Linked DNA regions of Sus scrofa. Each later gene encodes a partner of the first gene's protein in a complex. Links are inferred from orthologs where the notes say so. Each region holds a gene or a part of one and is shown in the gene's direction. Other genes may lie near its edges.

Evidence for each region.
Region 2: SRRM2 (region 1) and RBMX2 share a complex: the UniProt entries of both Homo sapiens proteins name them as parts of the minor spliceosome. The link is inferred for Sus scrofa from reciprocal best matches to the Homo sapiens genes SRRM2 and RBMX2.
Region 3: SRRM2 (region 1) and RBM48 share a complex: the UniProt entries of both Homo sapiens proteins name them as parts of the minor spliceosome. The link is inferred for Sus scrofa from reciprocal best matches to the Homo sapiens genes SRRM2 and RBM48.
Region 4: SRRM2 (region 1) and CRNKL1 share a complex: the UniProt entries of both Homo sapiens proteins name them as parts of the minor spliceosome. The link is inferred for Sus scrofa from reciprocal best matches to the Homo sapiens genes SRRM2 and CRNKL1.
Region 5: SRRM2 (region 1) and SNIP1 share a complex: the UniProt entries of both Homo sapiens proteins name them as parts of the minor spliceosome. The link is inferred for Sus scrofa from reciprocal best matches to the Homo sapiens genes SRRM2 and SNIP1.
Region 6: SRRM2 (region 1) and CRIPT share a complex: the UniProt entries of both Homo sapiens proteins name them as parts of the minor spliceosome. The link is inferred for Sus scrofa from reciprocal best matches to the Homo sapiens genes SRRM2 and CRIPT.
Region 7: SRRM2 (region 1) and BUD13 share a complex: the UniProt entries of both Homo sapiens proteins name them as parts of the minor spliceosome. The link is inferred for Sus scrofa from reciprocal best matches to the Homo sapiens genes SRRM2 and BUD13.

What each region holds. Positions count from the first base shown.
Region 1 is NC_010445.4:39,274,230-39,278,413, forward strand, and holds the start of SRRM2 (serine/arginine repetitive matrix protein 2), read left to right. Parts: upstream 1-1,384; 5' UTR 1,385-1,928; intron 1,929-4,184. UniProt on the Homo sapiens protein: Required for pre-mRNA splicing as component of the spliceosome. As a component of the minor spliceosome, involved in the splicing of U12-type introns in pre-mRNAs.
Region 2 is NC_010461.5:106,887,402-106,890,891, forward strand, and holds the end of RBMX2 (RNA binding motif protein, X-linked 2), read left to right. Parts: coding exon 1-125; intron 126-1,815; coding exon 1,816-1,993; intron 1,994-2,408; coding exon 2,409-2,917; 3' UTR 2,918-2,990; downstream 2,991-3,490. UniProt on the Homo sapiens protein: Involved in pre-mRNA splicing as component of the activated spliceosome. As a component of the minor spliceosome, involved in the splicing of U12-type introns in pre-mRNAs.
Region 3 is NC_010451.4:72,443,479-72,447,610, forward strand, and holds the start of RBM48 (RNA-binding protein 48), read left to right. Parts: upstream 1-1,332; coding exon 1,333-1,476; intron 1,477-2,013; coding exon 2,014-2,204; intron 2,205-4,132. Other genes in the region: PEX1 (peroxisome biogenesis factor 1), read right to left, coding at 890-1,138. UniProt on the Homo sapiens protein: As a component of the minor spliceosome, involved in the splicing of U12-type introns in pre-mRNAs.
Region 4 is NC_010459.5:28,091,372-28,094,871, reverse strand, and holds part of CRNKL1 (crooked neck-like protein 1), read left to right. Parts: intron 1-1,671; coding exon 1,672-1,863; intron 1,864-2,995; coding exon 2,996-3,055; intron 3,056-3,500. UniProt on the Homo sapiens protein: Involved in pre-mRNA splicing process. As a component of the minor spliceosome, involved in the splicing of U12-type introns in pre-mRNAs.
Region 5 is NC_010448.4:93,609,370-93,613,529, reverse strand, and holds the start of SNIP1 (smad nuclear-interacting protein 1), read left to right. Parts: upstream 1-1,360; 5' UTR 1,361-1,453; coding exon 1,454-1,677; intron 1,678-3,373; coding exon 3,374-3,476; intron 3,477-4,160. UniProt on the Homo sapiens protein: Required for pre-mRNA splicing as component of the spliceosome. As a component of the minor spliceosome, involved in the splicing of U12-type introns in pre-mRNAs. Down-regulates NF-kappa-B signaling by competing with RELA for CREBBP/EP300 binding.
Region 6 is NC_010445.4:93,915,917-93,919,416, reverse strand, and holds part of CRIPT (cysteine-rich PDZ-binding protein), read left to right. Parts: intron 1-1,694; coding exon 1,695-1,798; intron 1,799-2,106; coding exon 2,107-2,171; 3' UTR 2,172-3,500. UniProt on the Homo sapiens protein: As a component of the minor spliceosome, involved in the splicing of U12-type introns in pre-mRNAs. Involved in the cytoskeletal anchoring of DLG4 in excitatory synapses.
Region 7 is NC_010451.4:44,148,402-44,151,901, reverse strand, and holds part of BUD13 (BUD13 homolog), read left to right. Parts: intron 1-460; coding exon 461-1,231; intron 1,232-3,500. UniProt on the Homo sapiens protein: Involved in pre-mRNA splicing as component of the activated spliceosome. As a component of the minor spliceosome, involved in the splicing of U12-type introns in pre-mRNAs.

The sequences.
Region 1 (4,184 bases):
TTGCACGCGCTTTTTGAGCACCCACACCCTTCTGCAGAAGTAAAGAGCCTTGTCGAGATCTCCCAGTGTTCATGTCTCATTTTTCGACTGACCATCCAAGCCATGTCCCCAACACTGATGAGGGTGTAAGAACCTGGACTAACCAGGGCAGCCGAGCGCAAACTGCAGTTCGAGCAGGAGGTGGGGACTCCAGCTGAAACTGTGGCCTGCCTGGGAAGCCTCGCTTCTTCCACCTCTGTTCTGAGGGAGACTGGCTGCTCTCCCACTGGAAAAAACTGGACTCAGGCACTCTGCAGAGGGGTGGAAAACTTCAGGGCGTCGGTAACGTTTTCGCCCTAACACGTATATGATACATCTCAGGTTCCCTAAGAGAAAAAGCTCATCGCCCCCTTACAGGCGGGGGATGGTAACAAAAAATCATCCCCGGGGTGCAGCCGCCCGGTTCAACACTGTCTGCGGCGGGCAGAAGCTGCGAACAAGACCGCCTACTGGCCGGGCCTAAGGCTCAAGCCCTGAGCCAGACGCTGGGCTCTGGGGTTCCCGGGATGTCCGCTGGCCGGGGTCTGGGCGGGGTGGTAGAGGTCTCCCGGGTGCGGAAGGACAGGGGACGGCAATCACCTGGGAGCCGCAGGGTCCCTGGGCTTGGGACCATCGCCTCCCAACATGGGGAGACAAAATGGCCGCGTGAGGGGAAGGCGAAGCTACTTAAGGGTTCCGCGTCCTCCTAGAACTACAACTCCCAGGATACCCTGGGACGAAGTCGGGAGGTCAAGGAGAGCCCTCGCGCTGGCTATGTGGCGATAGGCCCTATGTCTTCCGCCTCCCAGCGGAAACTGTCGAGAATGCGTTGCTTGCATTCTCGGTCCGCTCCTCCGACCGCGTCGGCAACGGGCCGACGGGAATCATAGTTCTTCGACAACGGAGTTGCCCTTCCCTCGGGCCTTAATTAACTACACTTCCCGGTGCAGTCTCGGCGCCTGCGCACAAGGCCGTGGAGAGTACTACGGCTCCCGGCGTGCCCTGCGACGCGCGCGGTAGCGTGCTGACGTTCTTAGTCCGTCGTGCTGACGTGCAGCGCGGCCCAGGCGGGGTGCGAGTGGCGCAGTCGGAGCCCGCTGCGGCCCCTGAGGAAGCGAGGAGGCGTCTGTGTCGGCTGAGACGGGCGGACCGGGGAGGCAAGGCGGCGACTCCAGGCGCCGAGGGACTCAGGACCTCGAGCGGCGGCGGCGGCAACAGCTCTCCCCCTCGGAAGCGGCGGGCGGAGGCGGCGGCGGCGGGTGAGGGAGCGCGCGAGCCGGGTGGGGGAGGGGCGGCGGCCCCGGCGCTAGGCCAAAGCGCGCGGAGAACGGCTCAGGCCGCCGCGCGCACGCGCGCTGGCCACCCCTAGCTCGTGCGGACGTTCTCGCTTGCCTGCCTTCCCTTCCCCCTCCTCGGGGTTCTTACCGCGCGCGGGTCTTTATTCCTCCTCCCCTCCCCCATGGTAACGGCGCGCGCCGCCGACTGCCCTCGGCCTCGCGCGCGTTCTCGGCGAGGAGGGGGGAGCGCGCGACTCGGCTTCCCGGCTCCCCAGCGCGTGCGGCCGGGAGGCCCTCCTGCAGCTGTCCTTGCCGACATTTTCTCGGCGGGGAGGGGGCGGCGGCGGCGCGCCGGGGGGGGGCGCTCCCGGCTCCTCACCCCTGAGCCTCTCGGTTTGGTCAACCCGTCCCTCCCGGAGGCTTGTGGTCCGGCCTTGAGCCTCCCAGACTACGGGGCGCCGCTCAGCCCCCTCCCTCTCCCTCAAGGCCGAAAATAGGCCCTGGTGGCTCAGCCAGTGCAGAGAAGGCCTTGAACTTAAACGCCCAAGAGATTTAAGACAGTTCGGATGCGTTACTCTCTGTCTTGAAGCGTTAAAAAAGGGAAACGTTTAGGAAAAAAGTCCTTCAGTCTAGGTACGTAGAGGCAGGCCATGTACTGCTTTCTCAGTTTTTCTTTTGTTTCTTTCGCTCCTTCTCTTTCTTTCCTCTTTCCCCGTGTTTTGTTATTTACCAAAAAGTTATGTTAAAGTTAGGGAAGAGGCTGCCAGCCTCAGGAAACGCTGGACTTTGTCTTCATTTGGCGCCCAAGTCTTCTAGTTTTTGGTTTCCTCTCAGACGCCTCTTTAAGATATATTTTGGGTCGAAAAATTGAGAAAGTGTTTTGTGTTTTTTTTCTTCTCCTGAGTGTGTGAGTTTGGATTTCTTCCTGAGCGAGTATTTTCGTTTTCTGGGCTGCCTAGTGTCCACTCAGCTACCACACTGCTCCTGTACTGAGCTTATTGCGCTGTTACTCAGGTCCATTTTTCTGCACACTCCCCACCCCTTTTGGTGCATTTCTCTTCTTAAATACCGTATTATTGGATTTTGAAACTCCTTTCTGCTTAGTTAGTTTGGTACTGTGATGATTTTCCAACAGTAAAAAAACCTCCCTTTCGTCTTTCTTTGCAGCTTGCTTTTGCTTTTTTGCCGCATGCTTGGGTGATGATTTTTTGCATATGCACAGACTGCGAACCCCAGTTTAAGAATCCTTATGTGGTTTTGATGATCTGTGTGTGTTGTTGATACACTTTTTTGTCTATTCGTTCTTAAAATGTTTTGAGCGCCGTCTTGAATGGTGTGTTTGTGGCTTCGTTATTGGCTCATTCCCTATAAGCGTTCCCATCTGTTGTGACTTAATAGATTTTAAAGTGCACGCTTATCATCTACTGGTTTTCCTTCTCCAGGGAGTGGGAGGATTATTGTGTGAGGAGGTATGGAAGTGTGGGTGAATGGTTGAGTTGAAGAATTAATTGCAGATCAGAAGCGTTCTGCAAGGGAAGCAGAAACCAAGTAGGGTATAGAAAGCCAAAGAGGACTTAGGTTTAGAGTGGGGCGGAGAAAAATAACAAAAAAAAAGATAAAAATGGAGGTTGAAGGATTTCATATGCTATAAAGGTTTTCATTTATTTTCATATAGTTCCACTGACTTTTCGTAGATTTAGCTTTATGTGTCACTCCTTTACCCCAGTAGGGATTTTTTTTTTTTTTTCCCTCCAGAGTCTGCAATTGGGATTGAACAGAGTCCCAACCTTAGAGTTGAGGGTTAAGGGGCTCCAAATTGTTAGAGTTGGGCCATTGCCATTTCAGTCAACATCTCTCTCCACTTAGGTGTGGGGAGGGCTTTTAGTACCTTCATCCAGATGTTCCTTCTGGGGGTTTCTAAAATGAAGCCTTCCCTTTTATCCAGTTATATATATTTTTTTTCCCCTCTGCTTTCACTACTTTCTCCCTTTGTTCCTTGGGTTCGTTCCTGGGGTTGTTTCCCTCACACATTTCCCCTGTGAAAACTACCTTTGACAGGATGAGTTGGAGAAAAAAAATATATAGCAGGAGAAAGGAATAGAGTATATTTAGCCAAGAAATTTAATCAGAAAAACTAGGGTTTGAGGGCTCTTCAGAGCCACACCCGGGTTGGGACAGGTTGAGAGGGTAGAAGTTCTGGTGGCAGGTGCAGGATGATGAGTGAGAGGGCGAGGAGGGCTGGAGGAGGAAGCCAGGAAGTGAGGTCCTGGGACTCTTAGGGAAAGCTGATGTAACGAATGTGAGGTACGAAGAGTGGGAGTTTTCTGAGTAAGGGTAGGGGAAGGAATGTAGAGAAGGGGACAGTTGAAACAGGGCAGGCTAGTTTGATGTGTTCAGAGAATTGAGTTGAAAATTAATATTTATCAGGAACTGGTGAGACTTGGGAGCCACACACCACACGAGAAAGCCTGTTGGGAAGGAATCCACGTCAGTTGGGATAGTTAATAGGAAGCGGCCCCTTGTCTGGGAGGTGAGGTGTGAGGGTTATATACAAATCAAGGTTCATGTGTTTCGGATGTTCGTGCTGGCCTTTAGTCTGGGCCACTTGTTTGAATACTTAGGGGCTATTTAGTCGATTTGTATTCATAATTTCAGGGTACTTTCAGGGTAGCATGAAATCTTTAGGTCAATTCTTAGAACAGTCTTTAAACTTGGAATGCAGGCCCTTGGGTGCCACAGATCTTTCTTTGGTGTTTGTTGTGCCCAGTTTGGAGGCCTCAGTTGCCAGGGGTTAGGAGTTAGTTGGGCCAAGGGAGAATAAAAGGACAGTGTGGAGAAATTTGGGATAAATAGTATCTTTGGGGTGGGAAAAGAACGAGCTGCAAACAG
Region 2 (3,490 bases), on another chromosome or scaffold:
GGGAGATTGTTAACATTAATCTGGTGCGGGACAAGAAGACTGGGAAATCCAAAGGATTCTGTTTCCTCTGCTATGAAGACCAGAGGAGCACAGTTCTGGCTGTTGACAATTTTAATGGGATAAAGGTGAGTGTGCTTACCAAGCAGGATTTGGCTAAACTTTCTCCTGTGTGAAGGGGTTCAGTTTCATTCCCCACCTGATAACCACAGGCTCAAAGGCCAATACTGGTCAACTGGGTGTGTTGCGAGAGTTACAGAAGTGTGGGGACATGTTGACCAGGAAATGATCCCAGGAAATAATTCCAGTGGCTCATGACCCTGCAAAAGTGTGGGGACATGTTGACCAGGAAATGATCCCAGGAAATAATTCCAGTGGCTCATGACCCATCTATTAACAAGCCATCTCCTCAGGAGCATAGGTACCATGCCCCCATTCCCACCCCACACCCAACCAAGCCTCTATTTCTCACCCTCCTCACACTCCACTCTCATCTCTGGTATATTGGAGAACAAAGAAACTAGCAAACACTGATCTTCCTTGCTGTCCTGTGTCAGGGAGTTTGGGGCTCCATCGTGGTTACATGACCGAGGACATGGCTGTCTATGTTTGTCAGGTCTCCACTGACTTAGTGGCACGGGGCCCTAGAAATTCTCTAGTTAAAATTTGATGACAAATTCTATGAAAGTAAGTCATTCTGAAGTATTCTCTCCTCTGTTCCCTCTCTCTCCATCCTTGTAAGTGAGACATTGGGCTGAGAGAAGGGGATGGGGCAAGTCAGGCTTATCTATGCTACACACAGTCCCTTTACTCGTCTAGGAAAAGCACTGCTGTGGAATGAGCATTGTCACAGGTTGGAGGGGTGACTCTTGACTTGGAGAGTTTGTCACTGATTGCACCCGTATGGGACAGCTGGAGATTATAGGACAGGATGGAACAAGGTTCTAGGCTTGATTTTTTTGAAGGGAGTTACCATAAAAGGAAGGCTTTGAAAAAATGTTTTGCAATGTCGGATAGGATAAATGATAGAAAGTGCTCAGGCTTAAAGGTAAGAATAGAAACCTGTCCTGAATAGAAAAGTAAAAGCTAGGTATTTCAAATTTCAGATAGCCTTACCTATAGAATAAGTCTGTATCTGCCTGAATGTTTTAAAGTAAGGGGTTAATTTGTTATTGTTCACCTGAAGTGTTGTGATTTACAGTAGAAGTATCAGTGTGAGCCAATTCCAGTATGGAGGGGATAGAGCTTAAGAAAAAAGAAAGTAGTCCTTGCTAATTCCTACCCCCCTCCAACTATTGGCCTGCCTTGGCCTCATCCTAATTGCTGTGTCGAGAAAGCAGCTGTAGCATTGAGTTGGATTTCAGGAATTCCTGCTAGCAGCCAGGCCTTTTCACGGTATGTTTCACTGTAAATGAATGTTACAGATTGAGGATAATTCATGGCGAGTCTAAGCTCTTACAGTTTTCTGTGCTGCTTGTGCTTTGCGGCAGTACTTCCCAGCCTTTTTTCACTTCCTGGCACATGTAGAACATGAAGATATTTAAATGACACACTGGGGTAAACTGATGAGGCTGCCTAGTGCAGTGGCCCTGGGGGCTGCAGCTGCCCCTGGCCCCTGCTTCCTGTCTTGAGGGCTGAGTGAATTAATGTGTAGGTATATGTGCAGTGACACACTAGTTGGGCAGATCTGCTTTCAAGATTTCCTGAGAAGTAGAATTAGTGTGAGGGTAATGGATATGGTTAAAACCAAGGCTTTCTCTAGCTGGTTCAAACAGATAGGAGGGCTGTCTTTGCTGAAGCATTGCCCATATGTCTTAGATCAAAGGAAGAACTATCCGAGTGGATCATGTGTCTAACTATCGGGCGCCTAAGGACTCAGAAGAAACAGATGATGTGACCAAAGAGCTCCAGGAGAGGGGCTGTGGGGCTCACACCCCCTCACAGAGTTCATCAGAGAGCTCTGAAGATGACAAACCCACCAAAAAGCACAAAAAAGGTAAAGCGTTAAAACCCTTTCGTGAGAAGATTCTGGGGAGGCTAGGTGTTTGCTCTTCCTAGCATTCAGTGAGCGTTGATAATCAGCTCTGTGAAGGGGGAAGGTGTGGGGAGCCTTAATTGGGAAAGGAGCAGTATTAGTGAAAGGCTAATGGTATGGGCTGAATTCTGTCCTCCAAAATTCTTATGTTGACGTCCTAACCACCGCCCCCTCAGTTACCTCAAAATGTGATTGTATTTGGAAGTAGGGTCTTTAAAGAGATAATTAAGGGTGGGAGTTGCCTTATAAAGCAGCTTGACACATCAAAGGTGACAGACATCCAGCTTGGCTTCTTGGAGGCACTGTTCTGGAGGTAGAGATGTTTTCCTCCATCTTCCTTTTCTTTCTTATTAATTGTGCCCCTCTTTTCCTCCAGACAAAAAGGAAAAAAAGAAAAGAAAGAAAGACAAAGAGAAGACTGACCAGGAGGTCCTAGCAGAGCAGCCAGCCTCCTCTTCCTCACCCAGAAGCAAGATGACGAAGGAAAAGGATGACCCTGGCTCTAAAAAGCACAGCGGCAAGAACTCAGAGAGGGGTCAGAAGTCAGAGTCCAGGGAGGTCCGGAAGCCGCACCCCAGCTCCCCTGAGGTCAAAACGATCTGCCACGATGGAGCAGAGGACCGGGATTGGGAGCCAAGGAAGGAGAAGCTCAAGCACGAACACAAGTCGTCAAGCAAGAGGGAAGAGAGAGAAGAAAAGAACAGGGATAGAGACAGAGGTCGAGGCTCAGATGCACATTACAGCCGGCACAATGGGCGTTCTGAGGGGCATAGTCACAGAAGTCGAAGTGGGAGCCGAGATAAGTCCCACAGGCATAAAAGGGCCCGGCACTCCCGGGAGCGGGAGTCCTCTAATCCCAGTGACCGTGACCGCAGGCATCACTGAAGCCACGGACTGTTCAGCTGCATGATAGAATTGGAAGTGAACTGTGTTTTAAAAATACAATGAAATTCAGTTATGCTTTTGCTATTTATATGTAAAATCTCTGAGGCTATATTCTTTTGATCCCTTGAGTATTAGAATCACTGAGAGAGCTGTAGTTTGTTTGTTTTGCTTTTTAGGGCCACACCCATGGCATATGGAAGTTCCCAGGCTAGGGATCAAATCGGAGGTGTAGCTGCCATGTGGGATCCGAACCCTTTCTGCGACCTACATTGCAGCTCACAGCAACACTGGATCCTTAACCCACTGAGTGAGGCTAGGGATCCAACCCCCATCCTCATGGATACTAGTCAGGTTCATTTCTGCTGAGCCATGACGGGAACTCCCAAGAGCTGTAGTTTTAACAGCTAAATGTCCTGGATTTTTGAGCCCAATCCATTGTCCCTGGGAATATGCTTAGTACTTTGGGTACTTGCCAGAGCATGTATCCTAAATTTGGATTCATAAATAGGGCCCTTGAATTTGTGACCCCAGTTTATGATGAAATGGCCAGGAAAGGGGAAATGCCAGGCAGTT
Region 3 (4,132 bases), on another chromosome or scaffold:
TTGCAAACTGTTGAAATTACTGCAAACCAGTGGGTACTATGCATTCAGGATTTTCGAAGATTTCAAACAGCCTATCCTTTTAGCCCCTTAAGCAAGCACGCTCAAACTCGTAAACCAGGTGTCTCCACTTTACAATTAGGAAAATACAGATGTTGCATCTCTGTAACCATGCAAGTGTTAGAGCTATGAACCGCCACAACCACAAGGTGCAGAGCGCAAGTGAAAACAGAGGTTCAAGGAATTCTAACTACCTATGACCAAGTATGCATACTCCCACAGCACATTCCTGGAGCACCCCGGAGGTGTTTGGAGACACAGGAAGAAGGTTCATATTAATCTATCCCGCTCGTGGGACACAGGGCTCCACCTCTGTTAACCAATAGAGACTTCACAAACCAAGTCCGCCCCTCTTTCTGAAGGCCGGGACCACAGCCATGCAAGCACCTGGAAATCGCTGGCAGGAAAAACGTTTTCTAATAATGAAACAAAACAGAACAGAATCCCAAAAGACAAACAAACCCGACTTCTCAAGAGCTTTTCCAACCTGGAGTGAGGAATAGTTGAACGAAGAGGGAGAATATCGGGGCGTTTCAAAGCCCAGTTCCGGCGAGTAAAAGACCTGGAATACAGCAGGTCAACTCAAAGAAGCCGTGCTGCACTAGACGTGATGTGGCTGTCAAGAGCGCCCAGGCCAGCCCTGCCCGCAAGGGGTCCTCAGTGTGGCCTCTGAACCGGTCGGCGGGGCTGGGAAAGCAGCCCTAATCCCGCCGCCGGGAGAGGCCTGAGCGGCCGCTGCGTCCCTAAAAGGCCTGGGTCTCGGCCGACCGCAGACTGGCCAGCAGCTGTCCCAAGTCGGTGGTGAGAGCCCGGCACCAAGCGGGCGCCTTACCTGCAGCAGGTGTAGCTGGGCCACAAGGCGCCGCGGCAAGTGGAGGAAGCAGTCGCGAGCGTTGGTGAAGGCCACCGTCACGGCCGCCCCGCCTCCGCCAGCACCCGCCAGGCGATCGCCGCCCCACATTGTCTGCAGGCACCGACCCCCAGCCGCCCAACCTATCTTTCCCGGGCCAACCCCGCAGGTCGCGGGCGTCGGACCCGGAGACGATCGATCGGCCCCGCCCCCTAAGGCCCCGCGGCGCATCCGGAGCGGGAGGGGCCAGCACGCCTGCGCCTGTTCTCAGGGCCTTTCCGCCGCGCCGCTGGGGGGCGACACGTTCTTCACCAAATCCTCGCTCACAGGAAACGATGGCCGACGGTGTCGATTCTTCAGCCAATCTCGGAACGCCTTAACTCACCCCTCTCTCTTATTGGGTAAACGGTGGGGCAACGGGGCGGATGTTGTCGTTCGCGAGGGATAACACCGGCAAGATGGCGTTGAGCGGCGGGCAGCTAGGAGGCTTATTCGATCACCACGTCCAAAGGGCTGTATGCGACTCGCGGGCCAAGTATCGAGAGGGGCGCCGCCCTCGCGCTGTCAGGGTAAAGTGACTTTGGTTTCAATCGCTATCCCCGGTAGCTTTCTGTGAGTTCCAGCTTCACATGCCCAGCTTACGTAAATAACATCTTGAGAGGCTGCGGTCACATCGATTAACTGAAGAAGAATATGAAAAACGCTGGTACTCAAGTACCAAAGATGCTTGAGTGCTCTTTAGTCTACTGCTAGAACCTCAGCTCCGTGAGAAGAGGGCTGTGTTTCAGTCACTGTATCTTCCGTGTTTACAGTGGTCCTTGTTACATGGTAAACGCTCAGCGAATACTTGTTAACTCGTCCCTGTAACTTCTACCGAGCTAATTTGTGGAAAACACATTGATGGAAGATAATGTTACGTGCTTTAGCTAAAGGCCTTTGCAAGAAGGGTAAACTATTCATTATGTAGAGAGAGGGGCAAGTTTTTAGATTTCCTGTTTTTATGCAAACCAGTCGAAAGGTGTTTTTTTCAACTTTAAAAAAATATAGGATTAGATTTGTCCCAGGCTTCTTTGTGAAATACATTTAATGTGTCTGATTTCTTATAGGTTTACACGATCAATTTGGAATCTCGGTACTTATTAATACAAGGAGTTCCTGCAGTCGGAGCCATGAAGGAATTAGTTGAGCGATTTGCTTTGTATGGTGCAATTGAACAGTATAATGCTCTAGATGAATACCCAGCAGAAGACTTTACAGAAGTTTATCTTATTAAATTTCTCAATTTACAAAGTGCAAGGTAATATGCAAGTTAAACAGTGTCTCATTTTCTCCATTCCCGTTGCCTACATTTGGCCTCCCTCATTCATTTCTGAATTACCCAGTAACTAACATGACCCTGTATTCTTCTAGTCTTTTTAAATGTTAGCCCTACCAAACTCTTTCTATCACGTCATTCCCATGCTTAACAATTTTTTTGTGTGTGTAGTATGGTAGATTAAAAATTGGTTTGGGAGTAAATTTTCAAGTTTCACTGTTTACTAACATCATGACCATGGACAGGTTACTTGACCCCATTAAGACTGTTTTCTTATTCTTTAGACACCAGTATGGTAAAAGGACCTACTTACGGAGGTTGTGTGAGGATGACATGGATCCATGTATAGGGCTTAGCACAGTGCCTTCTATTCAGAAGGCAGTAAACATTAGGTATTGGATCTCTTATTTTATGGACCTGTGTAATTGAATCTCCTTCTATATAACATAAAATTTTCTCCAACAATTAAGTACGAAATGCCCTATCTCTTTTTTCCCTCATTTTAAAAAATGAAAGTGTTGATTTACAACCTTTCAGGTGTACAGCAAAGTGTTTCAGTTATACACACACACACACATATACCTATTTGTGTGTGTATACACACACACATTCCTTTTCAAATTATTTTCCTTTATAAGTTATTGCAGGATATTGAATAGAGTTCCCTGTGCTAACCAGTAGGTCCTTGTTGTTTATCTGTTTTACATATAGTAGTGTGTAGCTGTTAATCCCAAATCCCCAATTTAACCCTCTTCTTCCTTTCTACTTGGGGCCTTGGCTCTTTTTATGTTGACTCCTATTCTTATTGATAGGCTCCAAGACCCATCTTCTCTTGGCTGTTAGAATTCATATTTTCTTTTCTGTGCTACAGATAGCCCTTGTAGTCTTTCTGCCATAAATCACTTGGGTTAATGTCATCGTGTGTTGTTCTCAGGTTGCCGTTATATATAATCTCACTACCCTAACCAATTTGTCAGCTCCTCATGGTTAGGGATATTTTCTCATTGTGTATTTTAAGGAGTTTTGCATCTCTCACTCCACCTGGTACAGTAGGTCATGCAGTGTGACATCTGGATTTGAATCTTAGCTCCAAAAGCTAATGTGAGAATGGCCAAGTTATAAATCTCTCTAGGCTTCAGTTTCATCAGAGGGTTGTTGTGTTAATTCAAGAGAAGCACTTAAGCACTTTGGTCACTGCCTGGGATGTGGTAAAATCTCAGTAAGTATTTATCATTTTCCCTGGGCACTGAAGTGCTTATTTATTGTAGTAATTCCTGGCCAGTCACAGATGTTTAAAAATTATTTGTTGAATGAATACCATTCTCATTGATTGTTATATATTCAATATTTCCTCCATTATTGAATGTTACAATTTCAATATTTTATTAATTTCTTAAATATGAATCCCATTATAGGAACACATTGTGCCAAAAAGGCTAAAATAAGTATGAGCTAACGCTCAAGAGCCATTTAACATAGAGAAAAATCTCTATTTCATAACCACAGATTGTGTACCTCAGGCCAACCAGCTGGATCCAGTATTGGTTAAAGGGAGTCTGGATAGGTATGGATGACTTGAAACCTATTAAGACTAGGGAGAGGGAAAGAAAGGCTCTAAGAGTAGGCACTGGATCAGTAGAGTCATGCTGTCCACAAGCAGAAATTCTTATTCCCTAAGTATAAGATGTATATACACTTGGCAAAACCTGGACTTTGCTTTTTATTTATTTTTTTGCTTTTTAGGGCCACACTGCGGCACATAGAAGTTCCTAGGCTAGGGGTTGAATCGGAGCTACAGTTGCTGGCACAGCAAGGCGGGATCTGCGATATACACCACAGCTGTGTCTGCGATATACACCACAGCTCACAGTGCCAGATCTCCAACCCATTGAGCAAGGCCAGGGATCAAA
Region 4 (3,500 bases), on another chromosome or scaffold:
GCTGGTGCTGTGGTGACCACAGCCTGTGCTGGATATTGAGTGGGAGGCCTCCTTTTTTTGCTCTGTGGTTGTCACAGGCCTGTTGAGGGCAGGGTCTGCTTCCTAAGTGTTGAAGTAGAAGCCCCCAGCTCCATTTCTGAGCTGTGGTGTGAGGTAGGTGGGACTGTAGCACTCCCACTAGGAGAGGAGCCACTGAGTATCCCTCCGCTGGAGCCGTCCACTGGGGAGTGTGTGGTGTCGCCTGTCACCCATTGTGCAAGCTGACAAAGTACACTCCTTTTGGCGCTACCCTCGACCCACCTCAGTTGTGGGCATACAGGTGATTGGCCCTGGGGTCCCTTCAGGTGTTGTGTTCACAAACCCACCAGTGCAGATCCATAGGTGCCGATCCACTGAAATCAGGTACTGGGACTACAGTAGTCATGCCCTTGGACCTTCCGTGGGAGCCGTGCAAGCAGCCCAGACCCCAGCCCAACTCCACATGCACGCACACACAGCTGCCAAGGCTGGCCCCGCTCTAGCCATGGAGCATGACTGTCCACTCAGATGTCCCACGGGCGCTGAGTTTACAGAGCTGGCAGCTGTGGCACAAATCCGTGGATTGCACAGCCTCGGGGAGAGGGCTTAGGTTTTAGCCCTGCTTTCTTAGTGCACAGCCCCTGGGATCAGCTCCACTTCTGGGTGTGGGCAATCACTGGCACTTGCGTGCTCCCAAAGCTTGTAGAGGTGCCGCTGTGGCTGAGTGCATGCTGAGGAAGGGGCAGCTATGGTGAGCCTACCTCTCCCTTCATGGGGCCCCTTAACAATGGCGCTTAGCTTCTGTGGGGGCCTGGGCTTCCCTGTACATCCTGGGTTGTGGTCCATACCCCACTCCAGCCTCTTCAGGCTGTCTCCACGCAGCCAGCTTCAGTCCTCTCCCTGGATCTGTCCTTTGAAGCCCGATTTTCATCACCTGGCCCCTACACATAGGAGGCGCGTGTCTTGGGGTAGAGACAGCAGCGAGGTAGCAGGGATCCTCTGGGCTGGTCTCTCTGTTCTGCCTCCCACCAGCTGGCTGCTACGCTCTCCTCCAAGCCTCTGAAGCTCCCTTTCTGTCCCAGCTGATCTCCCCTCGGGTGAGGGGTCTTCCCAGGATGTGGGCCATTTCCTCTTTCACAGCTCACTCTCAGGGGCACAGGTCCTGTCCGGCTTCCTTCTTCTTTTTTCTTTTTTTCCTTTTCATCCTATCTGATTACGTGGAGATCTTTCTGGCATTCCGGGGTATCTGAGATCTGCCCGTGTCCAGTTAGTATACTGTGAGAATTGTCCCACATGTGGGTATATTTGCAGGAGGAGGGGAGCTCCACGTCCTTCTGTTCCTCTATCTATCTTGATCTGCCCCCTCAATAATGATATATGTAGATATAGATTTTTTTTTTTTTCTTTTGGTCTTTTGTCCTTTTTAGGGCCGCCCCCGTGGCATATGGAGGTTCCCAGGCTAGGGGTCGAATCAGAGCTGTAGCCACCAGCCTACACCAGAGCCACAGAAGAATGATATTTCTTAATGAAATAGCATGTGAAGTCTAGAAAAAAGTGGCTAAGATATAGGAAGTCAGTCTGGTGCCACCTTTCATCTCACATAGTCCAGCAGGCACAGCTCTTCGGTTTTATTTACCGGCCTTAACTTTCTAGGCTAACCCGCACAACTACGACGCTTGGTTTGATTACTTGCGCTTGGTGGAGAGTGACGCCGAAGCAGAGACTGTGCGAGAAGTGTATGAGCGTGCCATCGCCAACGTCCCGCCCATCCAGGAGAAGAGGCACTGGAAGCGCTACATCTATCTTTGGGTCAACTACGCCCTGTATGAGGAGCTGGAGGCAAAGGTGCGAAGCGGCGGGGCCCTGGGCAGGCGCTGACGGGCTCCTCCCCCTGCGCCGACAGGCTCCTCCCCCCTGCGCTTCGGCTCAGCAGGTGTGGTGGGAGCAGACTCTTAGAATCCTTGCAATAGGAGTTTTGCTTTAGATTCTCATAAGCCTCCATTCAGCCAAATAATGAATCATTCTCTCTGCCAGGTTTTAAACTCTGTACACCTATTGTGGGCACAGGTGTATAGAGTTTTAAGTTGGCATTGTATTTTTCTTAACCTTGAGGCATAACAAGAGTATTACTTAGAACTTGAAAGGGAACAATGGGCCACCCCTTAGTTTAATTACATATAGTTTCCTGGATTTTCTGATAAATAGTATCACAGCTGGATTGCATGTTCTTGCTTTTAGTAAAGATCAAGGGAGTGCTCTTGTGGCACAGTGGCTTAGGAACTCGGTGTTGTCACTGAAGCAGCTTGGGTCACGGCTGTGGCACAGGTTTGATCTCTGATCCAGGAACTTTCACATGCCACAGGCACAGCCAGAAAAAAAAAAGAAAAGTGGAATTTTCAGAAGTTGTTTTGTATAGGTTAATGGGAAAAGATTAATTTTCTGTTTTTGATCTGAGGCTATAGCACATCTTTGTTTCTGCTGTCAGGCAAAAAAGCCTTTCCACAGAGAAGCTTTCAGAGTTTGAAGACTATGTTATGGGTAATTCTTTAATCAAAGTTTGGTGGCCAAATGTAATTTACTTTGTGTGTGTGTGTGTGCTTTTTAGGGCCACACCCACGGCATATGAAGGTTCCCAGGCTGGGGGTCAAATCAGAGCTGTAGCCACCAGCCTACACCACAGCCACAGCAACTCAGGATCCGAGCCACATCTGCGACCTACACCACCACTTACATCAACGCGGGATCATCCACTGATCGAAGCCAGGGATCGAACCCATGTCCTCATGGATGCTAGTCAGGTTCGTTTCCACTGAACCACAACAGAAACACCTAATTCACTTTTGATCATAAATGGAATAAGGTTTTGAAAGTACCTTAGCATATTCAGTGTTGGGGTGTACCATTTTTATCAGTAATAGTAAAATTAGTATTAGTAATAGATGTGAACTTTTTGTAAAAATTTCTCATCCTGATACAGGATCCCGAGAGGACAAGACAGGTTTACCAAGCCTCTTTGGAACTCATTCCTCATAAAAAGGTACGTTTGCCCTTAGTGTTCTGTTCCAGACACATCAGAGTCCTGCCTCTGTGGCTTGTGAAACCATTCAGTGAAATACCTGTGCAAGGCACTGTGAAAAACATAATGAAGAACAAGACATGCTCTTTGCCTCTGAAAACAGCTTGCAGCCTGGTTGAATGGACAGCCTGTGTTAGGTGACCAGTGACTGACACAGATAATAATGTAGAAATGCAGGGGCGGAGGGTAAGCCGAACAGACCGGGTGAGAGAGGGAGGTGCACTCCTGGAGCTCTCACTGAGCATGCGGACAGCCAGCAAGGGTCTGTTGGCCCCCAGTGGACATGTAGGCGTGAGGAACACGTGTGTTGTGGAAATGGTTGACATGTGGTCTCTGCCATCTTTCCCAGCATGAGAGACAGAGATGTTGCCCGAGGTGCCCTCTGGAATAGAGGGGGAGTGTTCTG
Region 5 (4,160 bases), on another chromosome or scaffold:
TCACTCGCATACCTCTCCCCCATTCTCAGATCACTCTTCCTCATTAGAAGTTATGTTTCAGAGCTGAAGGAGGCCATGAAGAATCTCTGGTCCCACCCCAACTCAATGCTTCTATCTCCTTGTGCAGATGTTGCTCAGGCCTTTACTTTCTTACCTTTAGAGATGGGGCCAGTCACTATCAGATCTATCCTTGTACACTACCTGGATAGGGCAGGGAGCCCCATCCATCTCTCTGTGACTTTTTTTCCCATCCTAAATCTGCCCTTAGGATCACCCAACATCTGGGCTTCTTGTACCGCTCTCCCACCCTCCTTGCCTGGTCCTAATTCCCTTTATTCCCAGTCACTGCACCCTCTGTCCCTTGGGACTCCCAATCCTCAAGGCAGGGATCTGTCATTCCCCGTGGGAGTTTCCGAGCTCCCCCATCCTGAGACTCCTCCTTACTTTGGGACTCCGTTTCTCCGTGTTGCGGCTCACCAATACCGGGGTATCATACTTGAGCAGAGAGTCGGCGGGGGGGATCATGGCGGCGGCGAGGGTAGCAGCACAGCAGCGACCCTCCTGTCAGGGCAGTGTTTGCCGTCGCCATGGAAACGTCCTTGACATCCTCATGGCCTGGGCGGGGCTTCGAGGCGGGGCGGGGCCAGCAGCTCGAGAGTTTCTTTCTGCTCAACCTTCGAGGAAAGTTCTCCTGCGTTTAGCTTGTCAAGCCTCCTGCTCACCGGGATCGCCTTAGCACTCTTGGAAGCAGGGGAAACTTGAGTTCTGGATCCCTTCGCTGCGTCCAGCTCACGGTTTGAGTAAGGCGCAGATCACTTTCGCTGATCCTGGATTTTGTCACCCGCAAATGGAATCATTTGACTCCTCAGTGAAGGCTGAGGAAGATTCCCAGAGGAAGGCATTTAAAGTTCCCAGGTTTTAAAAAGAGTTTGCCTTTAATGGAGAAATGGCGACGATTTGCCCGGCCGACGATTTGCCCGGGCTACGATCTGTGATTGCATTTCCTTCTCTTCCCCTTTCCTTCGTATTTCCAAACGTAAATGTCATCACAGTCTGCGCACAATTTTGCATCTTGCTTCTTCCATTTAACAAGTCAGACTTTTTTCCATTTGTCGTATAGTTTGTAAATACCATTGCAAATGGTGACATAATCTCTTTTCTACTGCTGGATGTGTAGTTTGTCCCCATGTTTAGTAACTAGTAATAACGCGTCAACAAACAACCTTGAGAGGAGCTTTTTCCCCCCAATTTGTTTTTGAAACCTAAAACTCCCGCCCCACAGAGTCGGGTCCCTAAGGCCCCGCCCACTCGGGATTCTGATCGCGTTATCCGCCGCGAGGGTTTCTGGGAGAGCGCGCACCCGGAAGCGGAAGTCCAGGACTCAAGTCCGTCATTTCCTTCACGGAGAGGAGCGCGACGGTCCTGTTTTTCCTTGGCTCAGCCGTTTCACAGCATGAAGGAGGTGAAGAGCGAGCGGGAGCGGGGAAGTCGGCGAAGGCACCGGGACGGGGACATGGTGGCGGCGGCGACGGTGGTGGTGAAGCAGGAGCGCCTCAGCCCGGAATCCGCGCCTCCTGTCCATCGCCGTCCGGACTCCTCCGGCGGTAGCCCTTCCCCGCTGGCCGGCGAGTCAGGCCGCCCCGGTCACCGCGGGAACCGAGCTCGAGGAGGTAGCCGGTAAGTGGGAAGCAGCCTGGGGTAGACCTGAGGTCGGGCTTTTTGAGAAAGGGGGACAGGGCTGGCACCAGGAGCACACCTTGAATGCTGAGCGCGGCAGCTTGAATTAATCCTAAGGCGATAGAAGTGACCGGTTGTGAGTGTGTTAACGTTTACTCTGATACCTGTTACTTGCGTTATACCTGGGCGTTAAACGCCTAATGCCTGATGGGCAAGTTCTTGCTCCTTCATCTCTGTGTGCTCAGCATTTCTCCGAGTATGGTCCAGCTGATGACAATGATAGTTTATGTTGAAATGAAAGATTTTTCCCACCTGCCTCCAAATGGGGTTATTTTTTCAGTTATCTGCCCCAAGAAGTTTTCATATCCTGAGCCTAGGTGATCTGTCTGATATTCTGGGGGGAAATTGTCTTTTGCGAACAATTTATTCATTCATTCGACATAGTTTTGTCGAGTACTTATTATGTGCTAAAGACCTCATAGGTTATAAAATAATGTGGAAAATAGCTATGTACAATTTTTTAAAATATAAATGTATATGTGGAATTTGAATCAAACTGTAAAATTATACACAGATAAAACTGAAATAAAGAAAATAATGGGAGTTCCCATTGTACCTCAGCAGTAACGAACTGGACTAGTATTCTTGAGGACTATGAGGATGTAGAATTCATCCCTGGCCTCGATCAGTGGGTTCAGGATCCAGCGTTGCCATAAGCTGCATTGTAGGTCGAAGATGCGGCTCTGATCCTGTGTTGCTATGGCTGTGGCGTAGGCCAGCAGCTGTGGCTCTGATTTGACCCCTAGCCTGGGAACTTCCATATGCTAAGGGTGTGGCCCTAAAAAGACAAAAAAAAAAAAAAAAAAAAAAAGGAAGAAAGAAAGAAAAAGAAAAGAAAATATGAGGCAGGCAGGCAGGCCGTCCTGGGTATTGGGGTGGAAAGAATGAGCATGATAGATGATCTCTACCCTGGTGAAACTGAGATGCTCTAGCCCTGAGACAGAATAACAAGGAAATAAAGAAAATAATTTGTTAGTAACAAGTACTAGGGATAGGTTAAGACAGTAATGTCATAGAGAGTGGAGAGAAGTGGTTCTCTGTGAAAAGTCTGCCACTTGACCTGAAACCTGATTGATAAAAATAATCCAGGCTTGTAAAGATCTAATCAGAGAAAACAAGCAGTGCAAAGATCCTGAAGTGGAATTAATTGTGTTCCTTCTAGAAAAGGAGGAGGGGAGGGGATCCGGTATAGTGAGGTGGGTAGGAATGCGGTGGGAGAGAGAAGAGGTAGAGCCTGGAGCCAGAGGACTTGCTGATTGATTGTGAGCGTGTTGGGGAGGAGCATGGGGCCTCTTGGTGGTAAGGGGGAGAAAAAAAAAGAATCTAGGATGACTTCTAGGTTTTTGGCCTGAGGAACGGATGGATAGTGGTATCAGTTACCCTGATGGCAAAGATAGGAAAGTTGAGAGGTGGGAATTTAGCCTTCTCTTATCGAAGTGAGAAGTTTCAATTGGCAGCTACATATGTGGGAGACATTCAGGGCTGAAAAAGTGAAGCTCCTGACTCCTTTAGTGTGATCAGCAGAAGCCTTCACAAATGTGATGTTTGTGTTAGTAGATAGGCCTGATACTTGAAGCTAATTTGTATGAGCGAATGAAAATTGAGATGAAATTTATGTGTACCATTCTCTGAACAGGTCCCCACCGAGAAAGAAAAATAAGTCCTCGGGGAGAAGAAGCAAGTCTCCCCGGAGTAGGAGAAGCCGAAGTCCTCACCACTCAACAGTCAAAGTGAAGCAGGTAAGCGGATTGAGATGTTTTCATACCGGCTCCATCAGAGCTGGAGTGTTGTGTGTGTGTTCACCTCTGCCTGCGGTGGGCTTTTCTAGAAACTGGCTTTTTGGGGTTTTTTTGTCTGCCTGTTTACTTCGTTAAACTAAACCTTTTATTTTGAGATAACTGTTGATTCACCTGCAGTTGTAAGAAAATAATACAGAAGTGGTTGTTTCTCCCATTGGAAGCATTTTACATAATTATAGAACTCTATTCCAACCAGAAAAAATTTTTAAGGGAAAAGTGGTTTTTGTTTTTAATTAAAGTATAGTTTAATGATAGTTCCCTCTGGTGTACAGTAGGTCCTTGTTGATTATCTATTCACAACCAAAATATTGACATCAATACAGTTAACATGCAAAACCTTTCCATCACCACAAGATCCCTCATATAGTCCTTTTGTAGTCATATTCATTTCCTTCGCACCCTTAGCCCTCAATTCCTGGCAGCTTCTCATCTCGTTTCCATTTTGTAATTTTGTCATTTCACAAATATTATGTAAATGAAATCATACAGTATGCAGTCTTATGGGATTGGCTTTTTTCCATTCTGCAAAATTCTTTGCAGATGCATTTAGATTATTGCATCTCTGTAGTTCATTCTTTTTATTGCCGAATGATATTCACTGGTATGGGTTTAACCATTTTCCCA
Region 6 (3,500 bases), about 55 Mb from region 1:
CTCTTTAGCGAGTGGTATTGGGAAGGTTGGACAGCTGCTTATAAATCATTGAAGTTAGAACACACACACTCACCATACACGACGACAAACTTGAAATGGCTTAAAGGCTTAAATATGAGACATGATCCCATAAAACTCCTAGAAGAGATCATAGGCAAAACATTCTCTGACATAAATCATACCAGTGTTTTCTGAGATGAGTCTCCCAAGGCATAGAAATAAAAACAAAAAAGAAACAAATGGGGCCTAATCAAACTTACAAGCTTTTGCACAGCAAAAAAAAAAAAAAAAAAAAAAAAAAAAAAAAACCATAAGCAAAATGAAAAAACAACCTGCAGAGTGGCAGAAAATATTTGCAAATGATGTGACTAACATGGGCTTAATTTCCAAAATATACAAACAGCTCATTCAACTCAACAATGATATAAGAAACTACCCAATCGGAAAATGGACAGAAGACTGCAGAGACATTTCTCCAAAGAAGAAATAAAAATGGCCAATAGGCACATTAAAAAATGCTCAACATCACTAAATATTAGAGAAATGCAAATCAAAATTATAAGGAGATACCACCACACATTAGTTAGAATGGCCATCATTAATAAGTCTACAAATAGCAAGTGCTGGAGAGGGTGTGGAGAAAAGGGAACCTTCCTACACTGTTGGTGAAGATGTAAATTGGTACAACCCAACCACTGTGGAAAACAGTATGGAGTTTCCTCAGAAAACTAAGGATAGAGTGGGATCTAGCAATCCCACTCCTGGGCATGTAGCCATACAACTGTAATTCAAAAAGATACAAGCATCTCAATGTTCATAGCAGCACTATTTACAATAGCCAAGACATGGAAGCAGTCTAAATGTCCATTGATAGGTGAGTGTATACAGCCATAAATTCAATGGAATACTACTCAGCCATAAAAAAAAATGAAATGCCCTTTGCAGCAACATGGATCAACTAGAGATAATCATACTCAGTGAAGTTAAGTCAGAAAGAGAAGGACAAATACCATATGATAGCGCTTGTATGTGGAATCTAAAATATAACACAAACAGGAGTTCCCTGGTGACCTAGTGGTTAGGATTCGACACTTTAATTGCTGCGGCCCAAGTCACTCCCTGGTCTGTGAACTGAGATCCTCACATCAGGCTGCTGCATGCTGCTGCCAAATAAATAAATTAATAAATTATATATGACGCAAATGAACCTGTCTACAAAACAGAAATAGACTCAGGACAAGGAGAACAGACTTGTGGTTGCCAAGGAAGAGGGGGTTAGGAAAGGGAGTGGGAGGTTAGGGTTAGCAGTTGTAAGCTATTTTACTTGGAGGAGATAAATAACAAGATCCTACTGTATAGAACAGAGGACTATATTCGATAGCCTATGGTAAACCATAATGGAAAAGAATATTAAAAAGAGGAGTTTGTGTGTGTGTGTGTGTGTGTGTGAGTATCTGTATGTATATATACACACACATATATATAGCTGAATCACTTTATGTACAGCAGAAATTAAGACATTGTAAATCAACTTTATTTCGTAAATAAGAGAGTGGCCAGCTAGAAGAGTGCTATAACTATCAACAATAGAGTTCGATAGAAGAACAGAGAGCATGGATTAATCATATGTGTTGCTTAAGTGAAATTTAAGTGTCTTTATTATACATTTTTCTTTCTTAAAAAATAACCTTTAGATTTGACCCATATGGAAAGAATAAGTTCTCCACTTGCAGAATTTGTAAAAGTTCTGTGCACCAGCCGGGTTCTCATTACTGCCAGGGCTGTGCTTACAAAAAGGGTGAGTCTTTTAATACCATTTTTGTATTCATATCAAACCTACTTCTTTTGATATTGATTTTGATAACATAGTAAAGGAGTAGCCCATCATAAATCCTGTTAGTCAAATGCTCTTTTTTCTAAGACAAAATTGAAACTTAGAACTTGTAGTTAAAAGTATATATTTTATTTTTCCCTTTTCTGATGTTGTTAAATTATATTTTAAGCTTCAGGAACAACTTAAATTGTTGGTATTAGCTACTTAAATTGTTGGTATTGGTGTCATTAGTTATCATTTGATTGCTTACATGTGTTGTTTGTTTGTTTTAGGCATCTGCGCTATGTGTGGAAAAAAGGTTTTGGATACCAAAAACTACAAACAAACGTCTGTCTAAATGTATTGAAGTATCTACTTTCCATATGATTTACTTTTTGCTTTGAATTTTCAAGGTATAACATAGATATTCAATTTACAAAATAACATGCCTTTAGATAATTACGTTTAAACCAGGGAAGTAGATGGGTATTCATTCTTTTGCTCTCAAGAAGTTCTGAATGGCAACAGTATAAAGTTTTCTGCCTAAAGGTTTTATTTTCCTTACAAATATCTTACTGAACTGGAATAAGTGATAAATTAACAAAAAAAATATTTTCCCAGTTCTGTATGCACTTTTTATTTATCATTACTCATATAATTTTTATTATCTTTTTTTCTACTTTATATGTAGATCTTGAAAAAGTGAGAAGGAGGTTATTAATATTGGCTTTGAACTTGGCATTTAGATTTGTAATTCTTCACTCATCCCCTTTTTATTCATATAGTTCTTAGGGTCAGCAGTCCCTTAATTAATTGTGGCTTCATAGAGCATTTAAATATCTGAGACCATTGTTGCTAAATAGTTCCTAAGTGATTAGCTCAGACCCAAATCAAACAAAAGTTGTATTTGTGGTATTTTTGATTTGTTCTTGAAGCCAAAGTGCCAGTACCTTTCACATGAGAACAGGAACACAAGGGATACCCTCTATGTGTCCACATCAACACACTGGATTTGAGAAAAACACGTATTACACATTACCTTGAATTCAGACCATCATGAAAGCCAAGAGAACAGTGTGCATCTATCATGATAGATCACAATCCTTTGGGAAAGTGCTTTGAAGTAGAAACTAAACTTTTTTTTTCTTACTTCCTCTCCTTTTCCACCCCCCCCCCCGCCAAATAAATAGACTAAGCAAACATTTTTATTTTTATTTATTTATTTATTTATTTTGTTTTTTGCTTTTTAGGGCCACACTCTGGCACATGGAGGTTCCCAGGCTAGGGGTCGAATCGGAGCTACAGCTGCTGGCCTGCACCAGAGCCACAGCAATGCGGGATCCGAGCTGTGTCTGTGACCTACACCACAGCTCACAGCAACACCCAGATCCTTAACCCACTGAGCGAGGCCAGGGATCAAACTCACAACCTCGTGGTTCCTAGTTGGATTCGTTTCCGCTATACCACAACGGGAACTTCTAAGCAAGTTAAATATATGTAACATAGATTGCTAAAAGACTACTTTGAGGTTTCAAGGATTTTTCCTATGTTGCCTTCAGAGGCACAGGACTTTTGCTTTTGAAACCTGTTAACTTACTGTGGGAGACAGAAAAAAGTATTCCCCATTGCCAAGTACAGTATAAATACATATCACTATCAAATGTGTAGAGGAGATAACATGATGCTA
Region 7 (3,500 bases), on another chromosome or scaffold:
CTATGAATTATCTAGGCTAAATATCAATAAGAGCCTCTAGTGGGGAGCTCTGTACAAATCAGTTTTGTGGAAGAGCATTGGATTAAGAGTTAGAGGACTGGAGTTCAAGCCTATCTTTTCTCTTCGTAGCTGTGACCCCAGGTAAGAAATCACTTAGCCCCTTAGAGTCTCTGTTTTCAGGTCTGTTAAGCAAGGATAATTGCCTTGCTTACCTAACAAAATATAACATGAAAAATATTTAAAATGCTTTACAGACTGATGACTTGTTAGGCAAATATGAGAGATTATTCTTAGGATATTCATGAGTGCTGTCTTACTGCCCCAAGTAAGAGTTGTACAGACCTTTTGGGCTTTCTGAGTAGTTTTCAGATGTATCCTCCTGGGGCATCTTTTGAAACTATGGTTCCTGGGGGTGAACAGAGCATCTGTGGGATTCTGACTCTTTGCTCTTTGTGTTTAGGCCACAATGAAGATCTGCCCTCACACAGACATTTCCGTCGTGACACCCCAGATGCATCACCTCCTAGGAGGGCTCGTCATGACACCCCAGATTCATCACCTCCGGGGAAGGTCCGCCATGACACTCCAGATTCATCGCCTCCTAGAAGGGCTCGTCATGATTCCCCAGATCCATCACCTCCTAGGAAGGTCCACCATGACACACCAGATCCATCACCTCCTAGGAGAGCCCGTCATGACACACCAGATCCGTCACCTCCTAGGAGAGCCCGTCATGATACACCAGATCCATCACCTCCTAGGAGAGCCCGTCATGACACACCAGATCCATCACCTCCTAGGAGAGCCCGTCATGATACACCAGATCCATCACCTCCTAGGAGAGCCCGTCATGATACACCAGATCCATCACCTCCTAGGAGAGCCCACCGCAGTTCCTCAGATATCTCTCCTCCCAGAAGGGCCCGTAATCGCTCCCCTGACACAGTTCAACCTAGAAGGACTCTTGATTCCATGGACACATCGCAGCTGAGGAGGGCCCGTCATGATTCCCCTGACTTGGCTTCTAGTGTCCCTCATTCACTGCCCAGAACCAAAAGCAGTACAGCCCCAGAAAGAGCGTCTAGCCAAGCTTCTCCCCATTGGAAGGGGCCAGGACCATCTCATCCATCACTCCCAAAGAACAGCAAGCAGGAGTGTGATTCAGACCTCTCTCCTCCACGAAAAAAGCAAGCAAAATCCCATTCTGGAAATAAGCAACATGACTCTAAAGGTGAGCATTTGACTGTCCATAGGAAGGACTTAACTCCCTAGGCACTTTCTTTTGGGCCTTTTAGTTCCTTTTTAGGTATTTGTGATCTTTAGAAATGAGAATGGAGCATTGGAGAAGTTTTAAAAACTGGAGGGAGGAGTTCCTGTCGTGGCACAGTGGTTAACGAATCCAACTAGGAACCATGAGGTTGCGGGTTCGATCCCCGCCCTTGCTCAGTGGGTTAACGATCCAGCATTGCCGTGAGCTGTGGTGTAGGCCACAGACATGGCTCGGATCCCGAGTTGCTGTGGCTGTAGTATAGGCCAGCGGCTATAGCTCCAATTAGACCCCTAGTCTGGGAACCTCCATGTGCTGCGGAAGTGGCCCTAGAAAAGGCCAAGAGACAAAACAAACAAACAAAAAAAACCGAACAAAACTGGAGGGAAATCATGAGAGGTTGGGCTGAGGAGAGTTAAAAATTTATAGTAGCAGAGAGGAGGGTTTTATATATTCTTTTGTTTATTCTCCCCACCCCATATAAGAATACTGCATATTCATTGCAGAATGTATAGAAATGTATAAAGAAGTAGAAAAAGGTCATACAAAATTCTGTCATTCAGAGGCAGTCACTGCTAGTGTTGTAATCTGTGTTCTTTTAGTTTTTTTTGTTTTTTTTCTATTCATTTTTTATGTGGTCGAGGTCTGTCTAGGCAGTAAATACATATTGCATGTGTAATCTTGTCTGTTTTTTTTTTTTCCCTTAACATTATCTTCCTCATGTCATAAAATATCTCATTAATATAATTTTTGTTGGTATTCTGTTACATAAATTTACCATTTCCTTAATACTGCATATTTGAGGTTGTTTCTGCACCTTTTCTTCTATAATTCTATAATCAACATCCTTATGCATAAACTATTGCCCTGTTCTGGATTATTTCCTTAATAATACTTCTAGATTGATCTCCTGGAAATCAAAGTACTTCCAAATATGTTTCCTTAGAAATTAAGTAGAAATTGATTTACTGGGTCAGAGGGTCAGGGTCCTATGCTTTTAGGACTGTTGACACCTGTTGCAGATTGCTTTTTGGGGGAGGTGATTTGTAGTTTTTTGCTTTTGTTTTCTTTTCTTTCTTTTTTTTTTTTTTTTTTTTTTTTGTCTTTTTGCCATTTCTTGAGCCACTCCCGCAGCATATGGAGGTTCCCAGGCTAGGGGTCAAATCGGAGCTGTAGCCACTGGCCTATGCCAGAGCCACAACAATGCGGGATCCGAGCTGCGTCTGTGACCCACACCACAGCTCACGGCAACGCAGGATCCTTAACCCACTGAGCAAGGCCAGGGATCGAACCCGCAACCTCATGGTTCCTAGTTGGATTCATTAACCCCTGCGCCATGACGGGAACTCCTTGCTTTTGTTTTTTTAATGGCTGCACCCAAGACATGTGGAAGTTCCCAGGCCAGGGATTGAATCCAAGCCACAGCTGTGAACTACTCTGCAGCTGTGGCATGGCAACACTGAATCCTTTAACCCACTGTGTCAGGCCAGGGATTGAACTCGTGCCTCCACAGCAACCTGAGCTGTTGCAGTGGGATTCTTAACCTACTGCACCACTGCAGGAACTCTTTGGGGGTGATTTGTGATGTCTACAACTCAGGCCTGTGCAGTGAGATTTGTTTACTCTTTTGTCCCAAGGCACTGTTTTAATTTTATTTTTTTTGCTTTTTAGGGTCACATGTGTGGCATATGGAAGTTCCCAGGCAAGGGGTCGAATCGGAGCTGCAGCTACCAGCCTATGCCAGAGCCACAGCAACACCAGATCTAAGTCACATCTGCAACCTATACCACAGCTTACAGCAATGTCGGATCCTTAACCTACTGTGCGAGGCCAGGGATCAAACCCATGTCCTTATGGATACTAGTTGGGTTCATTACCACTGAGCCACAGTGGGAACTCCCCTGTTTTAATTTTTAAATTCAGATACATTGTTATCCTTTAGTCTGAGGACATCAGAATATATTCTAGGCCATTTTAACTTTTACCATGCTGCTGAGACCTGAGTGCAGTTTGTTTTGCTCACTCTGTGTGGATAAATATGGCACAGAGGAGTATGTTGAGATATTACATGCCAGTCACAGTCATTATAACTTGAGACTAGAATCCCACATCCTGCCTGTTGGTTTTAAAAGTTGTCTCTGATTTCGATTTTCTCTCCCATGTCATTTGTACTTGTATTTAGGTTAGTGATCGTTTGTCACAGGAGGACTAAATGAATGCTGAACATTAGCCT